Linked DNA regions of Neodiprion lecontei. The protein of the gene in region 2 purifies or fractionates together with the protein of the main gene of each other region. This does not show direct contact. Links are inferred from orthologs where the notes say so. Each region holds a gene or a part of one and is shown on either strand. Other genes may lie near its edges. The genes, in order: mitochondrial mRNA pseudouridine synthase Trub2 and RCC1-like G exchanging factor-like protein.

Region 1 (11,316 bases), on a different chromosome or scaffold from region 2:
TGTGATCTCTCTAAAGTCTGGATCAATTATCCCCGCCATCCTCTGCAAGAGCAGGAACCCACCGGCGATAGACAATGGATACCCAGCTTTGAATTACTGCAAGTATGTGAATTGCTAAAATATTTTCTGTAGGGGTACATTTTCAATTTTATTAATGCAAGGTGTAAACGGTGGTTTATTATCAATTTATTACTGCTCATCGACAAAAAATTAATCAACGTTATTGTTTGTCTTGTTTCTTTAGAAGTTAACCAAGTTTGAAGAATCAATTGGCATTGATTTTCAACATATTCGATTACTCGCACGAGCATTCACAGATCGAAGCATTGGGTATACTAATTTGACGCTAGGATCTAATCAACGTTTGGAATTCCTAGGTGACACTGTTCTGCAGCTCATAGTTTCTGAATATTTGTACAAATTTTTCCCTGAACATCACGAAGGACATCTTTCGGTAAGTAATTTCCTAAAAAGAGTTACTTCAATTTCAAATAATGTGTTATAAATCAGTGTGATTGTTCTGTAGGTTGTACGTTATCATACAGTTTTTGTGTTTTAATGAAGCATGAAATATTGATTACTTAGCGTTTTTATTCTTTATTAAGTTAACGAAAGAAGCTCGGTTTTGAGCGAAGACAAACTAATTGTAAGTTTAATGCAAGTATATGCTAATAATTTACAATTACAGCTTCTACGAAGTTCTTTGGTCAACAACAAAACCCAAGCAGTAGTTTGCGATGATTTGGGTATGACTCAATACGCCCTTTATGGAAACCCTAAAGCGGAGCTAAAGACGAAAGATAGAGCTGATTTGCTAGAGGCTTTTTTGGGCGCTTTGTACGTTGACAAAGGTTTGGAGTTTTGCCACGTCTTTTGCGACGTGTGCTTCTTCCCTCGTCTTCAAGATTTCATCATGAATCAGGATTGGAACGATCCAAAAAGTAAACTGCAGCAATGTTGCTTAACTCTGAGGACTATGGATGGTGGAGAGCCAGATATACCTGTTTACAAGTAGGCATCGCAAATCAAATCTTTCTCATCGAATCAGGGGAAGAAATCGTACTAATTTCATCATTTATTCTTACTTTCAGAGTAATCGAATGCAAAGGTCCGACTAACACGCGAATTTACACAGTCGCTGTGTATTTTCAAGGTAAACGTTTGGCCAAAGCTTCTGGCCACAGCATTCAAGAAGCAGAGATGAACTCCGCTAAAGAAGCGCTTGAAAAATCTCAAGGTAAATTTGATTTGAACATGGAAATTTCAAAAACTGTTCCAGTGACCAATAGTTATGTTATTTTGATATGGGTATGTATCATATTAATGTATTGTTTCAATTGTTTCCGTAGATCTATTCCCTCAATTGGATCATCAAAAACGGGTTATTGCAAAGAGTATGAAAAAACAGCAGTGGCCCAATCGACAGATGCTTCGGGCAAAGACCATTCGATGTAACGACAGATCAGACGATTCAGATTCAAGTTTCAAACAAAAGAGACGAAGTCGAAGTAGGGAGCGTGAAAATTCAGACAGACGATCAAGAGATCGATATGATAGTTCAGATCGAAGGCATAAGGAGTCACTGAAAAATGTTGATAAATCTGATGTCTATAATAATGATCAAGATCGTCGTACCAAGGAAAGATCTATTAGTAAGAGTAACGATTACAGAAGAAATACTGAATACGAAAAAAATAATGATGCTACAAATAAGGAGAAGATTCATAGTCTTCCAACTGACTCGAACCACAGATATAAGGAATATGACAGGTGTTCAAGCGTAGATAGTCGAGGGAATTGTCAAGCAAGTGGATCAGGATCTGGATATAGAGTCAGGGATGATTTTACAGTTACCAATGTTGAGGACAGAATCGAAAGCCGTGATAAAAGTTCAACCCTGTTACGTCGTGGAAAAGACGACGATGGACAGAGCAGCTATAAGCAGAACAATCAATCGGTATGTACGAATGATGGAATGTACGAGCACGATGAAACAGAGCGAAGAACCGAAGCGCAAGCTATGAAAGGCGATAATCGAAATAGAGGAAGGTACGAAAGGCAGGATGATACAGAGAAAAAGCGGAATACCTGCGCGAAAAGTTGCGTTTACGAAGATATAAATGTTCAAAGGCAAAGTAACTTTGAGCGTGAGAGGAAAAAAATAAACGCAGAGAGTAATTATGAAAATAAAACAAACAGGAAAATCCGAGATTACGATTCTAGACATAGTCAGCGTTTTTACGAAAACGGTAGAAAGAGAAAACGATCTTTCGACGATTGCAGAAGCAGCAGCGAAGAAGGAAGTGTACCGGAACAGTACAGAAGTAGTAATTTCTCGCCTCAGATTGAAAAGAAGTCCATGTAACGTGGATGATCCTGAAGTAGTGAGTAGGAGAAAAAGCTGATAAATATAATTTTCAATGTGATAAAAGAGGCTCTGTGATTGGAAAATCTTTCAACTAAAGTAACAGATGAAGAGTTGTTTTACATTGTCGAGTAAACTATATTGGATGGTTGTAAGTGATAACTGGATTATGTTTTACTCACGTGTTACATTATTATTGTGTATATATGTAAATTTCAGGAGACATGTAGAATGTGATGTTTTTTTGAGACGCTAATTTAAGCATATTTATATAATTCCCGAATATTTCATGTAAAGAATGGTGCAAACTAAAATCCATCTTATTGTTATCTGAAATATATAATTTTAGTGCTTATAGTTGAGTTACCTGAAAATAAATTTTACATTGGGCTACTACATATTTGGCAATTGAATTATTTCTTAATTTTAATACTTACCATAAGTCTCGTTATTATGAATAGATGATGAAATATGGAATAAATAGAAAACCTATAATTCGAGGGTATATGAACTATTGGTTTAATGGATTAAAATATTTACACATAATTACATAGACAGATCATTTGCTCCAGAGGATTTAATAAGTGGGTATTTATTGAAATCATATCAATGCACTTTAGTAAAATGAATTATCCCCCAAAGTGAAATGATTCAGGAAAATAGTGACGAATATATTCTGACCCGAGAATAATTCAGCCTTTGTACAGCAATCTATATCTGTTGTTCTATCAATGTAGGACTATCTTGTTCCACTAAATATTTGTTGTTATCAAGAATAGCCTGAGTCTGTTCCATATTATCAAGTATACTTTGAACATCCCAATGTTTTTTGAGGAGTGCAAGTTCAGTTGTAAACAAACCGTACCTGAAACATTGTATTTGTGTACAAGTAGCGACACTGTGTAGTTGAATTCCTAGTTGGTGAACCAAAGTCTTAAGATACATCTCGTACTCGTTGATGCATGCTATTTCTGAAAAAGTAATACACCAAATATAAGTTTATGACAGAGAAAACTGAGTTCGGTATAATACATACATGTTTCATTATCGTTACCAGTAATCGTACCTAGAGTAAATTCTGGCATGTTAAAGGCAACACATTTTATGGCATAAATCATAGGAATTTTGTTATTTGCTGGTCTGATCGGGCCTTGAATTGCCAACTCATAAGCAGCCTGAGACTGCATATCTACGCCACATAGTCTGTAAAAAAATTTAAGATTATGTTGACGTTCCGGCTAGTTGGTAAATTCGAGTAAACTCCATTTGAGTTTAAAGGTTGATAAGCTAACAAGTGGACTTAAAAAGTTGAACAAGAAGTGAAGAAATAATACATCTAGCATAGACAGAGAAACAGACACTACATAATAGACGTTTGCAATAAATAGTACATGAAACTCGAATTCAATACCTGGAAAAGAAGGATTGAACTCTGTTTTACAATATTAATACTGCAAAGTTCCTTATATTGCGTAAGTTCAATTAACAGCTCCAAATTCACAGAACTTTTTCAAAATCTTATCAAACATGAAGCTAGATTCTAATAATTGCGAGTTCTTGAGACCATTTCTGTAACATGGGTACCTAGCCTCGACTTCATAGTCAAAATCATAGGTTTTGAAACATTTTGTGTCCGCTGATCTCTTGTCTGCTGGATTCATAATTGTAAAACTAGTTTTTCATTTAAGATATACATATAAATAAAGTGCAGTATGAAAGAATCAATACTTTTATCAAAAACATGAAATAAGCGAATTTCATAAAACAAGAAAAAATGCAAATTATTAAATTTTCAAAATGACAATTACTCAAACATCTTCCGTTGATGTGATGCCTGCATCGACGCACAGATTGCGTCCACAGTGGCTCGTTTGATAGACTTATAGGTAGCCTTCTCCACAATTTTTCCCGATGTGAAATAATTGTCAGTTGCTTGTCCGAATACCCCTTTAACTTTGTAGAACCTTGTTGGGTTTGATTCCCTCATGCGCATAACTGTTCTAGCACCTTCATTGATTCCAATAATCACAACACCAGATGTATCGTAACCAAGGTAATTGACCCACGATAGCTTAAAATCTTTTTGCTGATAATGAGGACCGGTTAACAATAAATGATCAGCCAAATTTGGAACGACCTGAACAGTCATTGGTTTATCAGTTTCTCCTTCGATCCTGACATACTCCCGCTGTGGTCGGCCTTCTAACGCGTTCAAATCTAATTGGAAATACACGGTACATTAGCACTGATATTAAAAGAACATACGCTCGACAGGGATTACGAAGTGAGTTGATTGCATCAGCGATTAAGTTGTTCGACTTAATACTAGTGCTGGAAAATTTTTTGCAATTCTAACCTCTGCACAAGTGCGTCAGTATCGTGTTTCTGGTTCTGTGCAAACTGTAACCAGCGGGTTTATAAATTGCAGCTATGCCATTTAAAAACTGCCAAACCACCCTGGCGTCAGACGTGACTCCCATTTTTGCATTAGAATCAGTTGTCACTATTTGCTTCTAGTAAGGAAGCTCATTTCGAACTTTAAAGTTCAAACCACGATGTAGGTTCAAACAAATTAGATTTTAGGTTATGTCGTTCGTTTCGAAACAGGATTTGTATTTATATTGGCAACACTGATGAATAGTTTTAAGCTGAATTTTCACGAGCGTCAAATTGACGCGACAGCGCAAAGACGTCATCGGGAAATGTCATTCATGGAAGTGGGTGCCGACGCAACGGCAAAATGCCGCGCGTCAAAACTCACGTGGTTAAGCCAATGGATATCAATTACATTCTTAATCGAAGAATGTAAAAATTTAGGATTGCTGATTGGCAGTGTCGGACTGGTATTTTTTTGATTTTTAGAGCTCAGAAATTCTGGTCTTAGAACCGTTTTTCAGGACCTTATTGGCACTGATCGAACTCTCAGAAATGCGAAAAGGACATTAAAAAGATCGTAGGACCAACAGCAGCGGAATTGCAAACGAAATCTTTCATTTTTCGGCTGGATCTCTTAATACGTTGCTTGCAGTGTATTTCGTAAAACTGGTCTATAAGCTTTATAAGTAGTTGTTCGATATGTAAGAAAATATAATCTCATTCATCCTCATGATTCAAAAAACGTTAATGCAACTGAGAATTACTGCCTTAACCACGTAGCTCACGTATGGTTGTTAGACTTGCGGCATTTCGCCGTTGCGTCGATACCTATTATCATCAGTATTTTTTTGCCGCCGACGATGTAGCGCTGCCGCGTTAATTTGGTATATGATCTAAAATGCTTGGTCTACACATGCACTTTGAGTGGGGGTTTTAAAGTCAGTACGTTCAAGTCTGTTTGGGATAAAGTGTGTACTCAGCATGGACTTAGTACTCAGCTACACACAGTACTTTAATGACAAAAATTATTTTGAGTTGGGTAGCCTGCAACGGTGTTGGGTTTAAAATGAGAACTGTGTGGCACTTGAAGGTTAAAAAGCCTTGTAGCCATCAAACGGAGTAACGAGAAGAACTTAATTAAGAACTGTCAGTTAGTGTTTATAACCTCAGTGATACAATATATGAAGCAATGTAATGCAATGTTCTCCGTAATTTTATTCATTAATTAATAATAACCTATCTATCTTTTATTTTCCGTTTTTTGAATAGCTTATAATCAACAAATCTCTCATCTGTAATTCAAACCGCATTTTGTTTGTTGCAAACCCTGGTGATACTTCAACATGGATTATATTTTCATATCAATAATTGTTTGAGTAATAAATATGTACCAAACTTGGTTACGGCAAAATGCCGACCGAAAAAAAGAACGAAGCACAAAGAACAAAGAACGAGTTCAAATCACACGAGATTTCGATATATCCATCATGTCGGTACGGTTGGCACTACTTCTCGCTGAAAATTAAGCTTAAAGTGGGATTCAGAAAATCTTTAAGTGGGAGGCGCTTAAAGTTCATATAAACTCAGCTACACATCAGCTTTAATGGAGGCGCACTTGAAGACCCTCACTTAAAGCGTATGAGTAGACCAGGCATAAGTGTGGCGACAATTTGACGACCATGAAAATCCACCTTTAGGGTGGGTTTACATGTGCGCGGCGGTGTGCAGCGCAATTAGCGGCAACTAATCAAAACGCATAAGATCTAGTTGCCACTATGTTTTTACTATTGCGTACCATGCGTGTGGCTCACGTACAGTACTCTACACTAAGGGTGCTATTTCATGAGCAGTAAAAAGCAGCAGTGGTTTAGTAACTTACTAGTTTTCACTAGCATCAGTCTGGTAATTTTACGCAGCAGCAGCGCTGCTCAAGAAATAGGTCGTGGCTTTTTGTGATCTTGTGGCTTGTCGCTCGAAAAACTGAACTGCGAGCAGCAGAAACTTGCGCCGGAAGTGATAGGGGAAAATTGCTGCTGCTGCTGCTATTTACTGCTCATGAAATAGCACCCTAATGTGTACAGTGCCGGTGTGTATCGGCCGACGGTAGAGCCATCATACGGATTTACGAGTCGCGGAAAGCTTCGCTTCAAACGGCCGATAAGCCGTACGCTTCTATGGAAGTCGATCTTCGTTGCTAATAGTTAAGTAGCAGCTGGTTGACAGTTGACAATCAACTGTGAGGTGCGATGAGTTGGTGACACGGTTTTATTTGTATTTTTACCGTAGTGTAGTTTATAGTTCTTCCAATTATAATCCGGTCTGTCAGTGAACAGTCTACCAAATTTCTTTATTTCTCTGCTCCGCATTCGCATGATATTTCGCTGTTTTTAGCGAACGTAATCGGTTTTTAGCGTCGGCAACAGGTGTCTAAATCAAAAAGCTCCGAGTAGTTTCGCGCGTACAAATAATAAGACTGTTTACCGACAAAAATTGTCAGCTGAGTCCACTAATCATGTGTCCGCTGTACTTCCTTGCCTTTTGAATACATTTTAATTTTTAAATCTTCACTCATTATTTTCTAATCCAAGTCGGCAATTGGCTTACTTGATCCATCTGTCCAAAAGATGGATTATGATTATTTGATTAAATTCTTGGCCCTTGGTGATTCTGGTGTTGGAAAAACAAGCTTCCTTTATCAGTACACAGACGGTGTATTTAATTCAAGATTTATATCGACCGTTGGGATTGATTTTAGAGAAAAAAAACTGGTAAGAATTTAATTATAATTGTTCTTACCGAATTAATCTATTCATCAGAAGTGGATTTCATATTTTCCATGATGTTTCAACCGTCTGACATTTCGATGACGCGTTATCGATGAATATACTAATCTTGAGAGCTGGTATCTTAATCAGCAGCAAAAAGATTGCCATTAATTTATTCCTTGAAATTGTTATTGCAGGTGTATCAAACAATGAACGGCAGAAGCCAGAGAATACATTTACAACTCTGGGACACAGCTGGGCAAGAAAGGTAATTATAGCCTTCGTGTTATTTGCAAGCTTGCAAACATAATGATGAACATTCATTAGTAATCTAAGTACTGATCCGAATCCAATATCGTAGTAACAACATTATTGTCTTTATTTTAAAAAGAAACAAAGAATTTGTTTCTCTATATCGTATCATCCAAAAGTTGTAACTTTGTTGAAATAGTTGCTTGTTCATAGCAATATTTAAGTTACTTGCGTCGTTAGTCAGTGCATTTAATTCTGTACTTTTACTCACTCATTAATTATGCTGCTTTTTTCAAATTACTTTCCCAGGTTTAGAAGTCTGACTACAGCTTTCTACCGAGATTCAATGGGATTCTTGTTGTTGTTTGACTTGACAAACGAACAGTCCTTTCTGGAGGTCAGAAACTGGCTGGATCAGCTGAGGGTATATTAAATAAATATATCATTTTAATAAGGGTGTATTTACTTGAAATCATTCTAATTCAGTCCATATCTCACAACTTGAAGTCTAAAAATATTAACATAGTGAAACATGAAAAATAAATCACTATTCTGAAGCTTCAGAGAGTGACTCGGAAGAAATTGAATTTGCAAAATATTATTATGTTTTGCTTTACTGGGGCTCACTGAGTTTTGGACAACCCTAAATTTTGGAAGCGACAATTTTTTCTACAAATTAACTACACTAACTTCAACCTTGACCTTTTGTCATGGCAGATTTTATCTCCTAAAACCTAGTAATAATACATGAAATATTGTTTGCATCATTCCTAAGAAACGAGAGACTTCCACGAAACAACGTTTCTGATAAAAATCAATAAAATCTAGTCACATAATTTAATATTTCTCTAAAGAATTCGCAAAATTCTCTGCAAAATTCTCTATAGAATTTTCATAAATAGACAATTGGTAAAGATTTTTACACAAAAATTGTTGGCAGAGTTAAAATTTATCTTTAAACTGAAAATTTATTCAGTTTTATTCGTGACCTACTTTCAATTCGCTACCTTGTTAAACAATCTTAATTACTTGGCCTGATATGCTCAGCTACGCAGGAAGTTAGAAGCAGATATCTTTTGAAATACTCGTGTGTTTACATCTAACACATATTGCTTACACACATGAACTATAATTGATAATACTTATACCGGTAGTAGGATATTTATCCACAATTTTATGATATAGCTGAAGTTGGCAGCCAGGGTTAGCAGCGAAACTTGTTGAACTTTTTGGAAATAGAAAAATGCAGTTCAGTTTTATCCTCACAATTCTATAAAAGTATTGGGGGTTCGAGGTATTTCAAAAAATATTGACTTTCGGACTTCACTACTTTATTCAAAGGAACATTAGAACGTTGGGCTGCTAATTCTGGCTGCTAAATTCAGCCTCGCAATTTTCCGCGAACGATGAGGAAACACTGCTATTTTAAATTTTATTTTAGACATTCATTATTCAAAGACTGATTATCAATTATCAACTTTATTATCAATCTAATGCAAGTTTCCTTTGCTATTTTTATTACTTGCTTAGCGGTTTTTATATCTATTTTCATCAATAACAGCGACCTCAGTACCTACATATATTGCTATTGAAAATTTTCATACTTTAAAATTTACACTTTTTTCTACAATTGCTGAAAAAATTCCCTGCAATTCGAAGTATGAATTTTCTGATAGTTGAGGGTGCACGTAATTCATACAGTTACACATTGTCAGCACAATACAAATTTTATGGAAGGTGGTTGATGAATTATAAATACAATTGTAAGTAATCTATGATAGTACTTACATTTATAATTTGTGTTCAGTACCTATCACGTTTTTGTTTTCATATCAAAAAACCTTTTATTCGGTTGTGCCTTGATTTGTTTATTTATTTCACAGACGCATGCGTACTGCGAAGACCCTGACATAATTCTTTGTGGAAACAAGTCTGACCTTGAAGACCGTCGTGTAATCAGTGAATACAAAGCGCGGGAACTTGCAGAGAAGTATGGGTAAGTTTTTAGAAACTTCATTATATTCGTTCAAGAAGAGACAAAATAAAGACCAGCTAATCTGCCAGCATAAAATTCACAGTTCCTTTTATCAATTATATTTACATTTGATATTCTGAAAAGCCGATTTCTCAATCCATGTCTTATGCTATGTTGTCAATATCAAAAGTCTTTCCGTTCAAGAACAAAAAAATATTGTCTATTTGCGATATATGAATAAAATTTTATCGTCATCTCGGAGGTATGCACAGATTTATTTAGTAACAGTCTGTAATAATGATCCGTAGCCTAGGCTACTTAGAGACCAGTGCAGCTACAGGACAGAATGTTGCTAGAGCAATAGAAGTGCTGCTTGACCGTGTTATGCGAAGAATGGAAGCTACGGTGGACAAGTCTGTGTTGCCGCATCAACGAGGTCTTCGCTGTCACGACACAGATATTCCACCATCAACTTCGTCTTGTTACTGTTGATAACGGCTGCTTGTGATTCTCGCAAGAGTATTTTTCTTCCAGTATTCATCCGCGTGTTTCAGCCATATTTTTATGTATTTCACGAATTATACATCAATATTATTTACTAGCATTAGGAGGAATCTCGTTTATTCTTGTCACCGTTTTTCAGGTTTTTTTCAATTTCAAGATATTGCTTGTAAGAAAACATACTTCGAACCAAGAGGGTCTAGAATCTCATAAAAAATGAGTCGTTTCACTTTACATATATGGGCCAAATATTATAGTAAAAAATGTATGTTGGTATTGAAAAAATTTTAATGTACCCATACAATGCTGAAGTAATTTTGAACGCCGATTGATTATCGTCAGTTTATAAAATTTTCTGATCTTATACTATACGTCCAACATACGTGTAAGAATTTTTAAGAATATTTACAATTTAAAAAACAATGATGCAGGGTCTAAACATGTCATGGATAACAGACTATTGTACTGTGAATAATTACGTCACAGTATTACTGTGACAAAAAATTGAAAATTTCGTACCAATGTCTTACATCTGATCGCCGAATTTAATATGTAGTCAATTAGAATATCACTAAGCTAACGGCTGATCTTTTAACGTTTCTAGTCTTCTGATAGCAGAAAATATACCAAAAACTAAAATTCTGACGAAAGCAAACAATTTTACTTGTAATTTATTGCACTAGACTTTCAAAGATAATACGAACTCACACAATATTATCGATACCATAATATTGTATCAGATCGTATTGATTCCAGATGTTCGTTATATTATAGCGACTTTATTAAAAAACAACTTTCATATGCATATACATATAGGTGATATCGTGTTGAACCTAACTAGTCAATGTACCCAAATTCAATTACTGAAACATGCTGTAATGGATCCTTTTCCAATATTTATCAGTTACACGGTGTGCTTCCAATCGCTTCACCATATACAACATTTCTTAATACTTGACTAACTTTTGTTACTTTACTATGTATTTTCGTATCATCATTACATTTATACACTTCACAGAGTACACAATGAAACTGTCAGTGTGTTCAAAAATATTTTATACCATCATTTTTGACCTTTTATC
Region 2 (14,239 bases):
ATTTACAGAGTTATCGCAAGTTTTAATCACGAGGGAACCTTTTCTCAGTGCATAAGCATGGCTTTTTTCGGTTCATACGATAACTTTTAGCTAAGAATTTCATTACAGTACTGAAGTTAAATTAAAAAAAAAAAAAAAATCGTCGTCATTCAGTTGTAAACGCGATATTGTTGGATGAAGATAAATTTCAGGGTAATATTTATTTTTCTATCTCCAAGCTGTAACGATTTGGCTACATTCTCTGAACAGAATAGGAGGACAAATATTTTGCATTTCAGTGCAATCAGCTTTCCAATATCAAAAACTTACTTACTCTTTAATACTTGACATAATAATTAAATGGCTACTACAGCGATAAACATTAAATTTTAGATTTTCGTAAGATAATTAATCTCATGATGAGATAGGATACATAAAACTTGAAACTATACTTGGGCTGCCGGATTCTGATCATTTCTCAAGTGGAAAACTAAATTCGGATTTTGAGAATCTAGCAAATCCATTACACAACTAATATAGCCTAGTGGGAATTTGAGCAAAGAAGTTCCTTTGAACAAAAAGTTGGAATAAATTCATAAATATTGTAAATATTCTTACAAAAGTAATCGTATTCCCCGGTGAGCAGCGACATGGCACATTTTCAGAGCCTTGTATAAAACCATGTGATCATTTCTCCAAGAATTATTCATTTAAAAATAGAATCATCAAAGTAAACGTCTGTAACTTGTGTATGGTCGATCAATTGATTTGAAGTTGAATTAATGTCACATTCAAGTTCAACTGTTCAAAACGAATTCAAAGTCCTCAAAATATTATAATTATGGTATCTTGCAGAAATGCGATCAACACTTTGGTTCTGAAAAATGAGAGCAAACATGAATTACAGATCCGTGAATTCTCCCTCAATTGCTTGCAATCTAATCTGATTACGCAAAGGAGTCAGTATTTGTGAAACCAGGTGAAAGATTTTTTTTTGATATTGAAAATGGCGCGTCATAGGAATCAATTACAAATATTACATCATCATCAATTTTACTGAATTTAAGTTTAGAAACTAACATTTCCAAACTGCATCACATTTTCAATTCACAATTATTGATCTGTGTCGTCCCGGTTTTATAGTTTTCAAACCCAGTTATTTGATGAAATTTGAGTTTTCGAAGAAAATGAAATAATAATATCAGTATGTAAACTTTGACATTTGCATTGGTTTGCTGAAGGAAAGTTTGATCAATTTATTTGAACTTGAAATTTTTATTTTTTTTTCATTTTACCTATATTTCACTAAGAAAGTAGATTCTTGATAAAAAAAAAGCAAATAATCGCGTAGTATTCGTACTAATAATACATTTCAGATTGCACCCAATTTTTATTTTTTTTTTCCATTGCATAGTACTTAATGAGATGTACTTAGTGAAATGAGAGTGTTAACGTACAAATTAGTTAATAAAAACAGGAAGAAGATTAAAAAAGGAACAGTTTCTTTGCCCTTATTTTGTCTTTTATTTATTTCTGTAACAAAATACTGACTAGAAAAAGTTCAGTTTAATGGGCTAATGAAGTATCCTTATTTACGAATCAGGGCTGCACAATAAAACAATTAATCATACATTTTTTTGAAATTAGTCGATTGATTGACTCTTTTCATTGATTGTTTTTCTGAATAATCGATTGTTTGGCATTCTCAATTAATCATTTTCCCTATTAATGGATTCATTAGAAACATCATTTAGAGTTTTCCCGATTAATCAAGTAATCAACCCTTTCAATTAATCGATTTTCGATTAATCGGCCATTTGTTTATTGAAATTGATCTTTTCTTTTTTTGGATTAATCGACGAATTAGATAAAAAATGAGTTCAAATCTGCGGTTAATCGATTAATCGCGAAGCTCTAGTACGAGTTAAGTCTGTATTAGCTCTCCGGAAATAATGAATTATTTCCTTCTTTTAAATAGACATTACTTTTTACAATCCTACAATTGGCAAATACCGGTATCATTATCGAGGTTCAACTCTTAATATTCATACACACCTTGTGACAATACGTAAAAATATATTTTGTTCGTTAGGAAAACACTGCTTTATATATAAGGTTTACATAATGTGACTGTATGATCGACGCCGCAAGAAACTTTTTTTACTTGAGCACCTACTGCTACCTAGAATATAATATATATAATTCATGTGACAGCAAATAATAAAGAATGTCATGAAATGTATGACACTGTTTGACATATACTTACTTTCAATGGAAAGAACTGATCCTCGATATTCCCAAGTCCTAAAGATCCAAATTTGTTGCATCCCCACATATAAAGGTCTCCATTATCAGTCACTGCCGCCAGTTGACTTATACCGCAGTATATTTGAGAAACCTGTGACAAGGTAGAAAATTTTTTTTCTATCATTGCTGACTATTATATTTCTTTAATCGAATAATTCAGTAGTAAATTTTGTATGAAACATCGAATTTCAATTTCGCACAGTCATCACTGGTTGAAAAAAATAATTTCAGATTTTGGTAAAGAAGCTAAACTATCCAAAAACACTGTCTTCAAACTTGAAGTAAATCGGTCGGACCGGTTTTGAAATATCGTGGGCCCCGCAAAACATGTCACTTAGCTAAATGGTTGACGTTATTGTCACTAACAATGCTTCCAATTATGTCTATAGTAAAAAAAAAAAATATGTAGCTGAAGTTCGATCTACACACGTTTCGATAAAACAAACTCCGATCGAAATGAGTGGTTGGTTTTCAAGATATCAATTCCCAAAATTCACCCATTTCTTTAGCCGTCTACTCATCTATAATCCATTGATTTCGATGAAGTCTAGATGACACTGAATTTCAATTGTGGTCAATCCAAAAGTGTATTAAAAACATAATAGCAAACTATCATTGCTTAAGAATAGAATTTCATGAATGAATTTTGTGAACTGGGGGAATTTTAGGCAAATTTCTACTGACCCGATTATTACGGCTATACGCGTTAAAACCAAACAGAGTAGCCGGAATCATTGTAGGTTCTTTTGCTCTTTGTACAGCAGGACCAACTCCAAGAATTCCATATCCCCATACAAAAACGTTGCCATCACCTAGGAATTCAGATCAACAAGAAAAATTTATGACAAAAGAGTAAGGAAACATAATCCGCTACTTATTACAGTAAATTGTTTACTCAAAGAGATTTGTCACTTAAAAATCAAGCCTTTGCTTCGAAGGTTCATATGGTCAACACGTTCGTAAGCTATGATGATTTTTCTAGGAATGCAAAATAAAAAACTAGGATAACCATTTTTCATCTCTAATCGCATTAAGATGCTGAAAAATCTGATATATAAATGCCACATCATTTTGCGAACGAGTCATTTTATGTAGAAGGTAATTTTTCAAGTAAAGTCCAACAATTTTTGTTTTACTTATCAAGTTGATATTGTTGAATATACAATTTTCCAAGATTCCAGTGGTATCGATTTTGATCAGGAAATAGCAATACTTAATCAATAATTGAGAATAAGACAAAATTTGTTTCACAGAACTGGCAAGAAACAGTTTTCCAAACAAACCAAGCCACCATGACTTCATGGAGTGAAATTGAACGAGCCTAGTAAATTTTTCCACCATTTTAAAGCTGTTTCCAGTGAGAAATTGATACTTAAACTGCTGTTCATAATTTTAGTCACACTTTTTCAGCAATTTTGGAAGCATCACCGTAGCATCCGAACGTGATAATTTGATAAAAACTGTACGTGAGCTGATCTCGTAGTAAAATTAGTAAAAAAAGCATTGATTTTTAACCGAAGGTATTTGATCGATTGATTATATATTCTTACTGTTTAAAACCATGCAAAAGCTTCCGCCTGCAGCAATGTCTACAACATGTCCCAGGGAGCGACACTCTTGGATTTCTGTTGCAATGTTTATTTGGTGATTATCAACCAAAGATGGCAACTGTCCATATTCCGAATTACCCCATCCGAATACTGTGCCTTTATCTACCAAAATTATATTAGAATGTTAAAGCTGCTGAAGTAGGGGAAAGTTAACTGAATTATATACAGAATTTCGCAAGCAGATTAGACGTCCAGGTCTTTCAAGATTTTCCCCAGTATTCTTTTAGTATGGGAAGTCTCTTCAAACAAATTTATGTAGAATATCACATCAATATATGACGTCTGCGATTTGTTTAATTGGTTAAGCAATGATAATAACAAGTAGTTTTTTTTTTATAGCATACCGCTAAGCGCCAAGACACAGTCTGCCATACAGGCAACTTTGACAATATTTTCACCAGCCAAGTCTCCTTTCACTAAGCTCGGTTTGTACTCATTTCTGTAATGTGCAAGACCAGTTTGGCCATCTGCACCCCATCCAAATGTATAAACTTGGCCTGACTCGCTTAAAAGAATACTGCAGAAAACAAAGAGTAGCTTGTAATTCATTGATTTATAGATTATCAAGTTTTTAACGCTAACACAATGAAAGATTTGGAAAAGGTGCCCCTATTTTGCAATGACTTTGAAGATGTTCAGTTCTTAAAATTTCGAGTATATTTTGCTTCATTACAGTTTACCGAATTTCTGACATTTTCAAGTTTGTGAAATGATTTATAAAAACACTCTCACTGCATCATCATCATGAACTTCAATCTCGTTCGATATTTATGTTAACATTTCTTTATGTCCTAAAAATGGAGCAGGATTCGTTTTTTTTTTTTTTGTTTTTTTTCTAAAGATTTACCAGTTTTATAAAGCTCGTACTGCAAACTCCACACATGGCTAAAAAAACTTCCACTTCTCACCGTTAGTGCAAAATATACCATAATCAAATGAACCACCTTTTTTCATTCAAGAAATGTTTTGCTTTACGAACTTTAAACGTCGAATGAATGATTTAAATTTGAAAAAAAAAAAAAAACATATTGTAAAGTAATAATTGGTTATTTCATGCAAAATATATGAACTAGAATGATACAACATGTCGTTTTGTACTATTTACATTGAAAATGTTATAAAAGATAGTGGTCAACTTTGGTTTATTATCTTTTACCGAATTGAATTTAACGTAAAGTTGCAAAATGAACATTTTCGTTTAGAAATGCATTGTTAGAATAATTCTGTGAACTTTAGCCTCATCTTTCTTGGAGATACAAGACAAACCGAAATTTTATAGAAAATGCTTATTGCAAGTCAAAAAATTTATGGAATGCCCATTGCCGTGTGCAGATCCAAAAAAATGTAGTGATTGCCAACAATGAGTAAATATCAGGTTCAAGTTCATAATGTTAATATAGCCATGTATTTTTAGGAAAAATCGTTAATTTGCAAGTTTAGGATTCTTTAAATTTCGTTAAGTCATACAATGAATATAAAAATACTCTCATACTTTGGAAACTTAATAACACCTTCAGTCACTTTTAATTGAAAAATAGTGATTTTTGTTTCTCAATGTTTCGTTACATTAACGTTACTAACTTCAATCTTATTTATCTTATCTTATCTTCACTGTTGTCTAAGGTAACGAGTATTATTTAAATGAAAATAAGATTATTCATGTACAAATTCATTTGATGAGATGAGAAATAATTTCTCTCGTAATTGTCTCTACAAGTAAGATTATCGTCATTTTAATGTGGTTAATTGAGTAGACAATAATAAAAACGGAAAATTCTTAGTGTGTTGAGAAAAAAGAATTGTTAATTGCAAAAAATATTTTTTTGACGGCAGCGCAATATCTTTTTGTTCAACGGTTATCTGAGATCATTCTGTTAAAACAAATGATCAAAATAACTTATGACAGTGCTGATTGGTAAATGCTATCACGTACCTGTGATCTTGGCCTGCTGTTACAGATTTTATGCGCTCCCCTTTGATGTCTGGTATATGATGAACTATTGTATTGTTTGTGTAATCTTCATCGACAATTATTGGTCGTCCACATTGACCATAACCATTATTTCCAAGTGTAAACAGGCCTTCGGTTGTTAGAACTAACAAATGTGCACGACCAGCAGCAAGTCCAGTTACTTGACTGGACGGATTTTTTAATGGCAGATGTATCGGCTTTGGGAGTGGAACAACATTTTGAGGATCCTTTGCTGCTGCATCATATCCTGAGGAAAGAATTGGATCAAATTTAATCAAAAGTGTGAATCAAATCGAATGAAGACTGCACTGAAGGCACCTTTAAAATCTGTCAATCCTAGCAATATTTGACTAAAATTTAGTCTGATCTTTCCGAAAATGAAATCCATTTTAAGGCTGTTGTCGGGAACTGTTCTTTACACTTTCAGTCCATGTTTGCGAACTCCTAAGAATAAATTTTCTGCATTTTTTTAATGTGAAATGGTAAACATTATAGAGTACATTCTGAGTTGTATAGTGGAATGGAAATGGCATCGTTTATAAAACATAATAAATATTCGAGGGATCATGGATTTCCTAAATATATTCTGTATCCCTGGAATATTTTTAATGATTTAATTATGATGTAATTCTAAAAACTTGAGGATATACTCCAAAATGTCTGAATTTGAATAAAGAAAATAAATAAAAATCCATTTTTGATCCGTCATGTATATACGACTGAAAAGTTGAAAAAACCTATGTTTTTTTGTCACAATTTCAGAAGACCTATCTCAAAAATGATTACATAATCATAAGAATCAAACTTTTTTATGCCAAAAGCACAGTAGGTCGTATTTTTTCTCGACAACAGGCAGTGCTGAAAATTCAAAGACGAAGGTTCAATTTGAAATTGTGGAATTCATTTGTTTTTACCATTTGACTTGAGTCCTACAGCTTTTTCAAATGAAAGGTAAAAGAGAGGTGTGGAATGTTTAAATAAATCCGATTTTCAACTCCTAACCATTGGCTACTACTTGTAGAATCAAGTTACTGTTTATGATAAATGCCATCGAAAATATAACGCAGAATGTAGATTGATAGTTACCCACGTATACAATCAGTTTAATATTTTTGTCCCAAATTTTTATTCATATTGCACAAATGCGTGCACGTGCCATGTTGCAGATATCCCTCTTTTACAGCATCTGGGTTAGAAGTTGTGTACAAAGATGCAACTTCCAATTATACAATATTACGTTATCTGGTCGATATTAAATTTTAACCAACTTATGGAATCTACTAAATGATATATCTAACATTTATTGAATTTATATTTTCATCTTCACGTTCATTTACCCAATTGAGAATCTGTGTTAATTCCATTTCCCCAAAGGATGTTTCCATCTTTCGAGTCAACGGCAAAGACCGTAAACCCATAACCAGATTCGATATCTATCACTCGATGCTGTTCTGCAAATCGAAGTCTGTTCGGTTTGTGATAAAATAAGAACTTCTTGCGCTTCGCGATCGGCGGTTGAAGTCCCAAGGCTCCATGACCAGCAAGGCCCCAAACGTACACCCTGCGGTCGCTACTCTGACTTACTGGATATTGAAATACTGCAATGCAAAATTACAGAAAAATTTTCAGCATTATTTATATTAAGACATTAGATGTCTAAGAAATATTTTTTTTGCTCCCACCTGAAAAACTAGAAACATCCTTTTGTGAAAATAATTTATTATAAGTTGTATGTATCAGATAGGGGCAAAAAAAACTTACTCTCGAAGAAACCACTACAATTTGTGTACTACAAATGGTCCGAATTTTAACATTACGCAGAGTTTATTAGAACAATTAAATGACTGCGATAAAGATATGCTAAAGCGACGTGAAAGAGATTGGAGTGAATTTAGCCTGCATTGTGTAATGGCAAGATTTTCGGGAATTCTCATGTCTTATTTCTGTTTACACAGTACAATACGAAACAACTTGTTAATAACGCAGTCAGTACCAATCACTCTTAGAGGATTGATATCATGTAACGTAAAATTCAGGGTACTTTTTAAGTGTCATCGGTGTTATTTTCGTGAAATCGAAGTAACTCCAGTGGAGTCACTGTATCAGGCAAATACACATCGCCAATGTTGTTATTCATTATGTCACATTTGTTTACGGTAAAAAATCCCTAGAGTGATCGTTACCTGGCAATTCGTTTGGTGGTGGGTTTGGAGATTTTGTATTCGTTGCTGTCAATTTTTGGCGGACTTTTGGAGAAGATAATTTTGAATAATTTCTGACTAGCTTAAACATTATTTAAACTTTTGTAGCAATATTTGAAACGTGCCGTACTAATTATGGCATAGTTGAGTAAGCGACTGTTTTGCACGGTTGTCTGTTGTTTGAGGTTAGAGTTTCATCTGCGGTAACACCGGTAACACTTAATCACGGAGCAGTCGGCAGGAGACGACACTGAAGCACCGTTCGGCTCAAACGTTGGACTAGTTTTGCGGCAACGTAACTTGTATGAGGAATAGTCACGTTGCGATTGAAGCGCCTCTTGCGGGGTAAGCCCGTATAGCGCTCTCCCCCCCCCCCCCCGCCCCGTCCGGTATCTTATAATTCGCCGTTTGCCACCTTTTCTTCAGATTCAAATGTCAGTTGGAAAAGTAATTACTCAGTTTTCATTCACTTCAAATGCGTATTTTACGAATTTACGGAGTATGTTTGTAGCACGGATGTTCACAGGTTACGATCGCCACCCTTCACTTTTTACATTTTCCTATATTTTAGGCATTTTGATTGGTTACCTCTGAACCATGATCCGTGCCGCGGTGCCTAACCTTAGAGCATATAGACATAGAGGATGCATCGACGCTAAAGAAAGGTCCCCGAGCCAGTGAGCGAGAGAGATGTCGTAATGCTACATGCGCTCTCTTTCTACAGCAAGAGCGTACCTATCGTAATTGAGTGCCTCGAGCATTGCGTTGAAATAATCCAGATTATATAAATACATATTATACATTGGTGCCTGGTAGGTCAGGTTATTGAAACAAACAGTCAATAATATCAATGTTTAGCATATTTTTAAATGCAACGATACAATTTATAAATGTGGAATGGGCATTTTCGCCGAAGTCTGATAGAAACGCGACGATTCAACGGCTTGATTTAGTAACAGGTACATTTGGGGACAATAAGACCGTGTAGACGGCTAATTTTTTAAACTTGACAGTTATGTTGGCAACACAGAGAACCCTTGCAGCGCCATTACTACTTCTCTCTCTATACCATTTTACGCTTGCACGAAAGGGTATACTAGACTTCCTCCATAAAATGTGAATTCACCCTAAGGAGATAGCCAATTCGGACGGTCTTGCGCTCAAGGGTGCGTTCCGAAATTAGCTCTCAGCGCTAAAAACTCGGTAGCGCAAAAGAGATAAAAGATTGTTGACGCACTGGGAGTAAATTATCGAAACGCATCCAAGCTGTATGCTGCACGTGAAAAACCAGCGTATATCTGGCAGTCGTTGTCGGACTACGTGATTCTTAGTTAATGAAAGAATGTTGTGGGTGTTTGGAATTTTTTTCGTTTACTCACTTCACATGATTCAGAAGTTGTAATATTGTGCGAGAGATGGTCAACAATAAGTATAGATGAACAATTCAACAATATCCGTTCTTCTGCGTGACTGAACGTCCGGATGAAAACATTGTCACCATCATAACACGCTTGAACATTATTCTTATATCATCCACCACTATCTCATAGTTGAAACTAACCGCATCAAAGCAATTGACAACTTTGCAAAGTCTTATGATTTATTGAATAACATCAATCGTTAGGAAAACTTTGAAAGAATAACATGTCTAAGCGTAAGCTCGAGGATGTACTGAGTGAAGACTGGAAGGATAGTAGGGCGAAAACAGAACCGACCGTCAAGAATTCTTTAGACTCTGATGAGGAGGACGAAGAAGCCAATGAGGATAATTACAATGTCATGAATGAGGATGACTTTGAAGGTGCGCAACATTGCCATTAGTTTACGAATCGCATCCAATAATTCTATTTAGTTTAATAGTTCAATAGACTTTAATGTTAAGGAATATCCTAGAATAGGATTCAAAAATATGATACAAATGATGATAAATTGTGTCTGAATTCCTCTCTATAATATGCGAGATTAAAGTTAGTAACTTTAATGCAATGAAAAGTTAGAAAAAAAAAACAAATATAGCAACTTTGAAACAACTTTGAATGAGTCAAGTTTACAAAACACGAGCTTCACACTGGCGTCGTTAAGGTTTATATAATTTGGAGCAATGCTAATGTTGTAATTCAACAAAGTTTCTTACAAAATGCATCGTCACAATAATGTGATGAACTTCAAATTTGTAATATTTGTTTAGAATCTTTTGATGAATGTTCTGATCAAAGTCTTTCAGCAGGGCCACTTTTCCAGTTTTTCTCTCATATTGTCTATTTCATTCAAATTAAGTAGTAATAATAATTATATACGATTCTTTTCTAAATCTTTGAAATTCGTGTTCACTTGAAATCTTTTATTATAAAGGAACGGAAGACGATCCCGTAGCAGCAGAGACAGATGTAGGCTTCACAGCATTCAATATGAAGGAGGAATTGGAAGAGGGACACTTTGATAAGGATGGTCATTACCTCTGGAACAAGGAAAAGCAGATCAGAGACAATTGGCTTGACAACATTGACTGGGTTCAGGTTGTTAACACTGCTCAAAAATCAAATTCCGCTACTAATGTATTTATTTTGTTAAAAATACTCTATTCTACTCGACTATTATACAATGAGATTTTTACGAAAATATCTTAAGTTGGAAAATTAATACAAGTTTCGAATTCATTAATTTTTTAGAAAATTCGTAATCTTACAACGGAACTTTTGAAACTGTGAACTGTAATAAAGCTAGTTGTACTCGTATTTTGCAATGATTCTAAATTTTTTAATGTTATTAACTTCAATCTTATGCAAAATTTAAGTTTTATGTTTGGCTTTGTTACGGTTCATCAAATTTCAGACAATGTTAATGGTGCGAAATACCGATATCGAAAATAGTGACAAACTATAGCATCATGGAAACTCTTCTTTTTATTTGTGACTGCAAAATCAAAAACTTTATAAGGGAAATAGAAAGCCAAAAATGAAACGGATCTTTCAATTATACTTTCATAGTTCTGTGTGAAACGCATAATCATGGCAATAATAACAACAACTAGTTTGTTAATAATGTAAGCTCTGATAATAATAAAAATAAAAACAATAATGCCTAAATTGGGTTACAGATTAAATCTGGGGGACGCGAAGGTACAAGCAATAAAACAAGTGACAAAATCAAAGGATTGGCGGACAGCGATAGCGAGGATGATGAACAAGAAGTAATGTTTGACAGCGTGCCATTGTACAAAAAAATTCTCGAGTATTTGCGTCCTGGGGAAACTGTATCAAAAGCACTTCGCAGACTAGGTAAAAACTAATTGATCAGCGTTTGATAATATAATTTTTTGCATTCAAGGGTTTATTGAATATTGTTTTGACAAATTTTTTTTAGTGTTTCTAGTAAAATCATTGTGGGATAAAACAAACCCCCCCCCCCCAAATCTCTCCACCCACCTAATAAAATGAATTAAAATGATAAACTAACTCGATGGACAAAAGAGCTTAGCTTTTTTGCAGTAGGTATGACCAGGTGATAGTACTTCCAGCCCTCTACAACTTAGTTTAGTTCGTTAGATGTTTAAAGAGAGAAGACAGTGTAGCGATGGCCACTAAGCTAAATATAATCGATGTATCGATTAATCGAGTCCAAAAAAATAATTGAATAAGGCTCGATGGAATCGGTAAAAATTAATCGATTAATCGATTATCTCGAAGTTTGCTGAAACGGTGTATGTGAAACCAAAATTCCGTAAATTTCAGTATATAGTCTTATAGCTATAATAGCGGAAAAGTTTTTTCAGAACTTATAGTTTCATTAAAAATATTTTTCAATTTAAGGTGAAAATATTCATTTATTTTTCACCTATTATATCAAATAGGTACCTACTAAGTAAGACAATGATAATAATTCATACTTTAATCAGATAAATTAATATCATATTGCATCATTCATGGAAGTAAAAAACAAAAACTGATTGTGAGGATAAATAACTGAGTTGGTCGCTAATCAAGTTTGCGATGATACTTGATAATCGGGATACAACAATCGATTTAATACACAATCAATTATTTTTGGTCATTTTTAAGACGGTGGCAAATTGTCATGCTAGACAAATGTCGGAAGTAGTGAACAATATTGAGGAGGAAAAGGAAACGCATGAAAAAAAATTATTTAAACAAACAAGTAAATTACTTCACAATGTATTATGTCTAAATAAGTAGCAGTAAATTATAATGAATTGAAAGTGAAAAGTCACGTATCAAATTCGAGAAAAATTTGTAGAGAATTCAAAGCTTATGGATTTCTTCGAAGTACGGCCCACCATCGTTTTCTAATCAAAAGTAGAGAAGTATTCAAACAAATTGTGTCGCATCCCCGTCGAATAGTTGGATTTTATTTCCAAATTATAATACAAATTGATTTCACCTATTTTTCGGATTCACAAGATATATACCTGGTTGTTGTCAAAGTTTTGATTCAACACATTTCATGATAACAAATACAGTAGGCATTTCTCGTTATGATTTTACCTAAAAGTTGCTGTTTTGATGCAACTGACAGTTCTTCGTGCAGTATATTCACCTATGATTTTCCATGATATTTAGGCAAAGGAAACAAAAGAATGACCACTGCAGAACGATGGAAAAAGAAAAAAGAAGCACAAGCCGGTATAGAAACTAATGAAAATGCTGAAAAAATAACACAGTTAACAGAGTTTGCAAACGAACTTTTGACACGGACCGGTAACATGGATATATACGAGGAAAGTTATGAACAAATTAAAAAAAAGGTATGCACTGTTTTTATAAGTATCCTCAGTAAGTTTGATTACTTAACATGTAACTGTATTTATTGCATTGAGAAAACACTGCATGTAAGCCATTCTATACCATCTTGACTTTTTAACGTATTACATTCTTTAGCACAAAATAATTATACCATTTGGATCTCTAACTAAAACATTTGCCGTCGCAAAAACCGATGTATTCATCATTTTGACGAATTGCAACAGGGAAACAATATAGAAACCCCTAAAAGTTGACAAAAATTAATTAAAAAGTTAGTATCCTAAATTTCCCAAAAACCATGTTTCTTTTCTACTGAAAATTCCAAAGAACACTCGATTTGGTCTAAGAAAATATGTGTAATTTTCGTCATGGGTTCAGATTTAGTTTGAAAGTTATGAATTTTTTTTTTTCCTTCATAATTATAAAAAGTATTGTATCACGTTATGTTGTCATCAAGTCATACGAAACAGCTCTGAAATATAGGTATTAAATTATTATATTGAACATTTTTATTATATACTATATACGTAATATTTATATTACAATAATCATAATTTATACAGATAATAGTAGTAATAAAAGTAAGTTCAAACTAATTTCAACTCCATGCTGAACTTTGCACTTGTTTATTTACACTACATAGGAGTATCCTTCGAAATTTAAATGGGTGTCAGGTTTCGAGAAATGCAAGAAACTTATGTTCATTTTACCAAGTTTTGTAAACTTGTAGGGTTTTTCATATTTTTTTTGCATGTTATAATTTTCAAATTCATTCAAAACAGCTTGTTATTTTCTTCAGAATTCTGTCGATCGCTGGTCGAATTGGTATGAAATGCTTGATTTGTACAAGACACATGTGTGAAGTTAGACTCGAAATTGTTCTTATCCCCATTGAGTTTTTGGAGTAAAATTCAATACTCATCCTCGCGACGTACGTTTTCGTAATTTATATAATTTTTTGGGACACTGCAGATTGAGACGAGTGGGAAACAGGCTCATCCATCGAAACAGGAAGCGGAATTGGATATGTACTCCGACGATTTTGATGTTAAAGAAAAAGCCAAGCTTGACGAAAATGCAGCTCCTGGTGGTAAGTTCTCATTGAGTTATGTGTAACAGTGCCAATTATTACATTTATTCAATATAAGTAAATATCGAAAATCGATCCTAAACGAGAATATCAAAATGCTAGACATAGATTCAATATTTATAAATTATTTAAAGTAATTCTCAGTTAATTTAATTCGATTGTTTTACAATTACCGTTGAATTAACTGCATTTGCAAGCTCATTTCAATTTGAAGATAGAATAGTGTAATATACACTAATTGTGAGCAAGTATTTGAGGTCATGCATCTTTCTGTGGCAAGATTTGTAAACCTTTGGGCGGTAATTAGGCGTAAATTATAA

The links.
Region 1: the proteins of RCC1-like G exchanging factor-like protein (region 2) and mitochondrial mRNA pseudouridine synthase Trub2 purify together in Homo sapiens (affinity purification with mass spectrometry; 3 studies listed by BioGRID and IntAct, with this or other methods). This does not show direct contact. The link is inferred for Neodiprion lecontei from reciprocal best matches to the Homo sapiens genes RCC1L and TRUB2.

The regions. Positions count from the first base shown.
Region 1 is NC_060263.1:8,288,592-8,299,907, forward strand, and holds mitochondrial mRNA pseudouridine synthase Trub2, read right to left. Parts: upstream 4,959-11,316; 5' UTR 4,846-4,958; coding exon 4,722-4,845; intron 4,583-4,721; coding exon 4,174-4,582; intron 3,569-4,173; coding exon 3,432-3,568; intron 3,337-3,431; coding exon 3,077-3,336; 3' UTR 2,622-3,076; downstream 1-2,621. Other genes in the region: ribonuclease 3, read left to right, coding at 1-102, 245-454, 689-1,011, 1,092-1,237, 1,350-2,365; ras-related protein Rab-27A, read left to right, coding at 7,366-7,509, 7,704-7,774, 8,068-8,182, 9,642-9,754, 10,042-10,225. UniProt on the Homo sapiens protein: Minor enzyme contributing to the isomerization of uridine to pseudouridine (pseudouridylation) of specific mitochondrial mRNAs (mt-mRNAs) such as COXI and COXIII mt-mRNAs.
Region 2 is NC_060264.1:18,406,901-18,421,139, reverse strand, and holds RCC1-like G exchanging factor-like protein, read right to left. Parts: upstream 8,352-14,239; 5' UTR 8,161-8,351; coding exon 8,052-8,160; intron 7,467-8,051; coding exon 7,206-7,466; intron 6,116-7,205; coding exon 5,830-6,115; intron 4,414-5,829; coding exon 4,241-4,413; intron 3,999-4,240; coding exon 3,837-3,998; intron 3,099-3,836; coding exon 2,971-3,098; intron 2,378-2,970; coding exon 2,246-2,377; intron 2,237-2,245; exon of another isoform or gene 2,162-2,236; coding exon 2,084-2,161; 3' UTR 1,629-2,083; downstream 1-1,628. Other genes in the region: CD2 antigen cytoplasmic tail-binding protein 2 homolog, read left to right, coding at 9,714-9,870, 10,422-10,585, 11,167-11,347, 12,647-12,831, 13,802-13,919. UniProt on the Homo sapiens protein: Guanine nucleotide exchange factor (GEF) for mitochondrial dynamin-related GTPase OPA1. Activates OPA1, by exchanging bound GDP for free GTP, and drives OPA1 and MFN1-dependent mitochondrial fusion. Plays an essential role in mitochondrial ribosome biogenesis.